2 linked regions of the Schizosaccharomyces pombe genome follow. The gene in region 1 interacts genetically with each later gene. Each region holds a gene or a part of one and is shown in the gene's direction. Other genes may lie near its edges.

Region 1 (3,931 bases):
GCTTGTACAACTCAAGGGAAAAATGGGTTGTAATAATCTGGTTATTATGGGTAGTCATTTGTTTTGTACTCTTTGGTTGCGTCAAATTCGGTAATGTGAACTTAGACAAGACTCTCATCTGTTCTACATGCAGTATTTCAGCTGCTTTACTTTTATTTTTATTATATGGTATGTGAAGTTATGTAGTTACCATTACTGACCGCTAACACGCAGTTCGTCTTCCATTCTGGACACTTAAGCATATGTTTTCTGGGTTTTTTCAAGTTCTAGGTGTACAAAGTTGTGTCGTTATTGTAACGAAAGGTTTGATGCATTTATTTGACAAACATATCGACGGGACAGGCTACGAAATTGTAGCCTCTTCACTCTTTGTTATAGGCAATTTTCTTTTCTTTTACGAAATGGGTTTGTTTAATATTCCTGTAATTTATTCTAATCGTATCAGAATGTCCAGGTGCTCTCAAAAGGATGCCCAAATTTATCAGGAATGGTATAGCTTTTATATTAGGTATGTGTATTCAACCAACTGTATGAATGATTCTTTACTTACCCGATTAGAAGGTGCAGGGAGAGCGATTAGAGGTGCCAACGATAATAATGACATTCCCTTGGGGGAAATGGAAGTTGAAAGCGAAGTCTAATTGCGTTATTAATGTAGTTGTCGCTCCAGTTGGAAAACCTCTTTACCAAAATTACCAACGCAGAGAAGCTGCGGCTTTTTTAAAAATAAGCACCAATTTTCTTTAATCATCCTCTTTCACTATAAGGTTATGGAATATATGCTTAACTTATTCTTTCAATTACCAAAAATTGCCAACCAATGTATTCTACGATGTTGGATAAAGTGCATTGAGGACCGAGTCTTTATTTATTATGTATGCGAGTCTAATTATTTGTCTTTTTTAATGGAACTCAAGTCACAAACAATAATGATTTAAATTGTTTACGACAACTTAAAATCAACTAATGAAATCGAAAAACTCGTTGTTCCGCCTTGTTAAATTCACAATTTCATTGTCGTTATTACGTTCATTTCTCCTTCATCTTGATTCTTAATGAATCAAGCTTAATTATCATTTTTTCTTTTTGTTTAATGGTTCAATTCAAACAAAATTAATGTTTACAAAATAATGAATAGCATAATAAAATATTGTGATTCAGAACGATGGTTTGTTATAGTAATAACCTAAAGACACATTGCAATAGTGAATATCTAATAACGCAGTAAACGTATATACTGGTTTTATGTTGAGTTTCCTAATGATGCATAAGCTGAGTGGGCGATATGACTTTGATTGACACATATTTTGTGGAAATTTTCAATATATAAATCAAAGAGACTAATGATTTATATTCTAATACTTTTATCCACATCGAAAGCAACAGTTCATAACCTAACTGTTGGGTCAACTGATAGAATAAAAAAAACTCGGGTGTTCGTCCCAATTATAATTATCACTACAGTTATAGTCTAAATATCTATTAACTTCAATAACTGATTTTTAACGAGTATTATATTCTTTCCTTTTTTTCAAGGTATAACGATTAATTCTTCATTGTTTCAATATTAATAAGAAGCTACTAGTTAAAGCAAGCTGGTATTATCGTTATGTTACTACCAAAAAAGGAATACCGTGCTGTTACATTTTGTTATAAAAATATACCGTTAATCACTATTTCCCAAATTACAGATATCGTACTTTACTTGGTATTTCCTCTATTTACTCTTTCTCGCTGTGCAATAAGAAGAAAAAATTTTATTATCTGTTTACAAAACATAGCTAAATTTTCTAAATTAACTTTTGTTATTGATTGTTAGTTTATGGTGGATTGTTGTTAATTGAATTAAGATCCAAAGCGCTTGCTTGTTCACATTCGTGTGAATTGCACTTTTAAAAAAAAAAAGGAAAACTTAGTTATTTATTTAATAAGCTTCTACCATAATGGTCAAGCGTCAACGTATTGAGAGCTCAAATGGTAAGTGTCTTAGTTAGTCTTAAGTATTGGCTCTCTTATATCTTTTCTAGGATAATATTCTAACAGTTCTATGACAGTTCCACTCAGTGCATTCGCTGTGCGTCAATTGACTTTAAGTAAAGCAGCCAGAAAGAAAGACAATTCATCGGGGAAAAAGCGCAGCGTTTCGGAAGAAGAAAGCCAAGACAAATATGAAGACGAAATGAAAACTGAAGGCGAATTTCCTTCTTACAAGCACACGCTCGTACAAGTGGTTGTCCCAGGAGTTGATCATAGAACAAAGCTCCATTCAGAGTCATCCAAGAATGATTCTGAAATAACTCCTGATATAAATAGGTCCAAGGTTAATCCTCAGGAATACTCTGAATTCTCAGTTGCTAGTCCTCAAACGATTTCTCCGAGTTTACCTTTAAACTTGGACGACGAAACCGTAAGTGAAAACGTTCCACATAGCCCACAATCGTCTAACGATGCCATTCCGGTGATTAAAATTACGGAAGAAAATTCATTCAGGGTTAAAGATACGCTATACGTTGGATTACATAAAGATCAAAAATTAGCAATGGTTGGTACCTTCATTTTTCGTAGCGTTAGAGGGAAGTTTCAGCTCTTTGGTGCAACCTATTCTTCAGCTTGTATGTCTTGGTTTCCTTTAAATGCTCCGTTAGCATTTGCGACACCAGTATTTTCTGCTATAGACAATGCATTACCTGCTATGCAGATTTCCGAATATGAAGAAGATTCCCTTAACCTTCGTTCCTTTGCAGTTCCCTCTTACTCACCAAAAGAGCATGAATATGAATTAGAGCCCAAAGATATTCTCCCAAATTTTGAAACTGTAATAGCTTTTAGAGAAAATGAAAATGGTCTCTCTAAGATAGCTCGTGTCCTTCCATTTGCAAAGCGTTTGTTTTCTTTTAAGAATCTTTTGCAAGATGCCTCATCAATATCAAATAATTTTGAGATAACTCCGGAGTCTTGGTGTTCTTTTTCTAACCAGTTACTGTTTTCCACTTCCAAGTCAGACTATGTTGTTCCTCGTCTTATGGTTTGTGGACCTAAAGGATCCGGTAAAAGCAGTTTTTCACGATACATCACCAATAGGCTTTTACAGCAGTATCGTCACATTGCATATCTTGACCTCGACCCTGGTCAACCCGAAGTCGTACCTTCTGGGCACATTTCATTATATTATATTAACTCACCATTGCAAGGACCTGTTTTCGCCCGAATGCTCTTTCCTACTTACATGTTACGTTTGCATCTCGGAGATATAAGTCCCCAGAAAGATCCGGATCATTACATTGCTTGTGTTACTCGTCTTTTTGCTGAATATAAAGATTATATTTTTAATCAAGAGATATCCCAAAAGGAGATTATTCCTTTGATAATAAATTGTCCAGGTTGGATCAGAGGGGGTGGTGCTGAGCTTCTTTCTTCTATTGTTGATATATGTCAACCAACAGAAGTTGTATACATGAGTCGTGAAGACATGAAATCAAGTCATCGTGAAAAAAAGAGTATTTACCAGCACAAAGAATATATGCCTGATTTTCTTTCAAGCAGAGATGAGTTTCAACTTACCCTCTTGGAATCAACTTGGCAGTATCTGCCTGATCCCAACGTTAACAAGGTTACCTCTGCTGATAATCGTATGTTAGGCTTACTTTCCTATCTGTATTTCAATTGCAATTTACAGAGGTGGGACTTTACGACAAGTTTGACAGCTTGTCAACCTATAGCCACAGCTTTTAAGGGATCTTCTAAGGGAATAGATGCTGTTAATATTATAGGTGAACCTCTTAATGTTAATGATGTCGCGAAAACTATTAATGGTACTTTAATGGCACTTTATGCCTGCGACACTGCCTCTTTAGATAACAGTAACACACAACGGATTGTTAGTAGTCCTGAAGGGATACCATTAATCATCAATGATGGACTTCCTTTGGAT
Region 2 (3,931 bases), on another chromosome or scaffold:
TTCTCTCTTGGCCGTGACGAGCCTTCTGTTACTATGGATTCATCAGGAAAAGTTGTTTGGTCTAACTATAATGAAGTTATGTCCGCTATGATTAGACCGGCAAAAGAGCAGAGCGATCTTACAGATGGCTCTCTTATCAGTCTTTCTGTGAAAGAATTGGGTACTACGGAATTGTATCCTGCTGTTTTGAAACATTCACCGAATGGAAGATTTGTTTCCGTATGTGGCAATGGTGAGTATATTGTCTATACAGCTCTTGCTTGGCGGAATAAAGCTTATGGCAAAGCACTTGATTTTGCTTGGTCTGCCGATTCTAATGTCTACGGTAGTCGTACATCGGACCGTTCAATCGTAATTCACAAGAATTTTAAAGAAAGCAATAGATTAGATTTGTCCTACTCTTGCGACAAGATTTTTGGCGGCTTTCTCTTGGGAGTTGTGGGAAGTGATTTTATTTGCTTCTATGATTGGGATACTGGCATTTTAGTTCGTAAAATTGATGTTAAACCCAAAGGAGTTTATTGGAATGATGATGGCAGATTTGTAATTTTAGCTTGTGATGATGACTTTTACCTTCTCGGTTTTAACGCTGAAATGTTTTATAGTGCTGTGGAAAGTGGTACAGCAGATGAAGAGGAAGGTGTTGCTGATTCCTTTGAAGCACTTGCTGATGTTTCTGAAAGCGTAGTAAATGGCAAATGGGTTGCTGAAACTTTCATTTACACAACTACTGCCGCTCGCCTAAACTACTTGATCGGTGACCAAACTTACAAAATCGCTAACGTTGAAAGTAGTTTTTATTTGCTTGGCTATATTCCACGTGACGATCGTATTTACCTCACGGATCGTGATATGAATGTAGTGAGCTACTCTTTCAACCTTGCCATTATTGAATATCAATCACTGGTACTAAAGGGCGATTTAGAGGCTGCTCAAGGTCTTTTGGAGCAAATTTCTGAAACAGACCGTCCTCGTTTGTCTGACTTTTTGTCCCGTTTAGGATACAAGGAAGCTGCATTAGAGTTATCTGGTGATTCTGTACAGCGGTTTGAACTTGCATTAGACGCTCAACGATTGGATATTGCTTCTCAAATTGCTCAAGAATTAGATGATCCTCTGAAATGGCGTTCTTTGGGTGATGCTGCCTTGAATGCTTGGGATTTTGTTTTAGCTCAGGAATGCTTTGAGAAAGGTAAAGATTATGGATCTTTGGTTTTACTTTATACTGCAACCAACAATCACGAGGGTCTCAAAGAGTTATCGCAACTCACTAAGTCCACAAAGATAAATAATACAGCTTTCATCTGCTCATGGCTTACAAATCAACCAGCGGAATGCGTCAATATACTTACATCTACTCAACGTTATCCTGAAGCTAACTTGTTTGCTGCTACTTACTGCCCTGACGAGGTTAAAAATGTTCTTCCAGAATGGAAAGTTGACTTAACTAAGAATCAAAAAGAACGCATTGCGGATTCTTTGGGTGACTTGGAACTTAAAAATTAAGTAATACAACATTGGAACGCAAGTATTTTGACAGACACAGTATTTGTCTAAGTAATATTTTCACGTTTCCTAATTTGCATACTGATAATACCTTCAATCTGTGTTACGAATCCGTACGGTCGTACGTTTCACATACAATTTCAAATACGACATCTTCTGGTTGAGGCAAATATCAATGCTGTTACCACCTTTCGTTTGTAGATATTATTGCCGGTTATAAACATTTTAGCCATCATAAAATATCGATTTACTTTGTGATAAAAGTGCTTCAAATAGTTAAAGTTTGACACTACAAGTGTTAGTGAGACAGAAATGAATAGTTAACAAAGTGCATTTTTGCATACCAAATATCCAGACATGAATTAATTAATTTTACCAAATCGTATCAATAATATACTGTAAAAGCTAATACAGGATTTTCCTCTCGTATGTGATGTCTATAAGTAAAGTATCGCTTAGCCAACTACCAACACTTGTCATGAGTTTTTAAAAATGGACATGAAAGTCGTTCCATGGAGATTAAAGGAAGATTTCCTTTACTTAATGTCTTGCTTTTATAATGAAGGACAAGAAGGAATACCTGATTTAGCTGCTTTGTTTAGAGGTGTTGAAATTATTCAGGCTTGGTCAACCCGAGGTCGTATTCCCCATTCAGTGGAATCAACGTCGCAATTAGTTTCATCTTTAATAAGTAATGACCGATCGCAAAAGCTAGCATTAGCTGTTTCAATATCTAGATTTGTAAGTGGCTTGTTGGATCCTATCCAGCAATCGCAGTACGCCATCCCAATGGCTGTTTTAGCCAAATCAATTGATTTACCTACTTATTTTGTCGAATTGAGACACGCCATTACTCATGAAGAACTTCCTTCTCTACCTGTTTTAAGACAAGCTGCGCAACGAGCATTATCATGGCTTTATGATCACTACTGGAATCCCGCTGCAACAGCTGAATCCGAAGATACATATGACTACACCGAAACTAATGAATTGCATAAGTTCGAAATAAAAAGAAAAGTCAAAGACTTATTGAAACAATGGCGTTCCTGGAGAAAGGTTAATGTTTCTGCAAATATGTTTCTACCAGTAGAGGAACATGACTATATTCAACAATTTGAAGCATTAGTACAGGAGTTGGTAACAACAGCTAATCTGAGGTTACCTTATATCCCAGCTTCTTTCGTCGATGATGAAAAAGATTTGGATTTTGCAATAGAGACTACAAATCTAGATATTGTCGTCAGCTGTTTCTTGGAAAAGCGTGTTTTAATACCCTCCAGAACTATGCCAATCAGCTTTTTTCCAAAGCTTAAAAATGTATGGCTGCCTCTGTTACAAAGTATAGCTTCGAAGCATTCATTCTTTTTACCTGCATTATTTACAACCTTGTGGTCTGAAATTTTAGAGATTAGCCAAACCGTTGATTCTTTGGTATTTCTAGACCTCAAGGAGAAAGAAGAATTAACCGATAAAGAATCTGCTGGTTGCTATTTAGCAAAATGGTATGCTTATTTAATGCGTGAAGCGTATACAGGTCAGCCATGGACCAGTACTTTATCTGTGACTCAAACAGATTTGGCTTCCGTTTTAGAAATATGTCTTCAAAGAAGTGATCCCTTCACTAAGATAATTATTGATGAATTGTCAATTCTAGATAAAGAGCTGGAAAATAAGTTTTCTCCCTTGTTTCAATACCGCAGCGATATGTTTGATTCCCGAATATTGGACGAACAAGAGTTTGAAGACATAACATTAGAACAAATGAAAACGGAATTGAATAAATTTTCAGTTCGTTTAAATAACATTGAAGCTCAAGCTGACTCCAGTACTATGGAGTTTCAAGGTCATGTGTGGTATAAACCAAGCGTCGAGCCATCCCCCATCGGTCAAATAATCGAAAGTTAAAAAAAAAATTATATGTGTATATAAGGAAAGCTAGGTTGAATAGAGTTTATTTGGGTCTATATACACGAGGGTAATCTTGGGTCTAAAATAATAATATTAAGTTGCTGAATTGAGTATGGCAAAGCAAATTAAGTAAAATATAAGTACAATAGATGCCGTTTTGAATAATAGGTTGCACGTGATGATAGACGTGCGACTTACTTATATCGTGTAAATGCAGGTACGAGACTATTTATTCTAATTGAATACGACTCAAATAATCTGAACAATATACTTATATTACCAACACATTTTACTTGACATTATTACGAAATTGGGAATTTACCCATTTTACATGGCCACTTATGTTAAATTTTATGAGAGATTGGAATAGCTTTTTAAATTTATTCTTGAGAACGAACTTTAGCGCCGGCATTCGTGACTTTGACACCCAAAGCACGAGCCTTCTCAACAATCTCAACACGCTTGCGAGCAGAAACATTGGAAGCAATCTCGGCTGCATAAGTCTTGTTGTGCATCA

The links.
Region 2: of grc3 (region 1) and las1, extra expression of one rescues a mutant of the other (dosage rescue), as found in Schizosaccharomyces pombe (one study listed by BioGRID).

The regions. Positions count from the first base shown.
Region 1 is NC_003421.2:2,181,864-2,185,794, forward strand, and holds the start of grc3 (polynucleotide kinase Grc3), read left to right. Parts: upstream 1-1,736; 5' UTR 1,737-1,943; coding exon 1,944-1,977; exon of another isoform or gene 1,978-2,054; coding exon 2,055-3,931. UniProt on the Schizosaccharomyces pombe protein: Polynucleotide 5'-kinase required for both rRNA processing and heterochromatic gene silencing.
Region 2 is NC_003423.3:4,352,143-4,356,073, reverse strand, and holds las1 (rixosome complex/ Las1 complex endonuclease Las1), read left to right. Parts: upstream 1-1,963; 5' UTR 1,964-1,998; coding exon 1,999-3,411; 3' UTR 3,412-3,531; downstream 3,532-3,931. Other genes in the region: sec27 (coatomer beta' subunit protein), read left to right, coding at 1-1,506; rpl3201 (60S ribosomal protein L32), read right to left, coding at 3,795-3,931. UniProt on the Schizosaccharomyces pombe protein: Required for both pre-rRNA processing and heterochromatic gene silencing.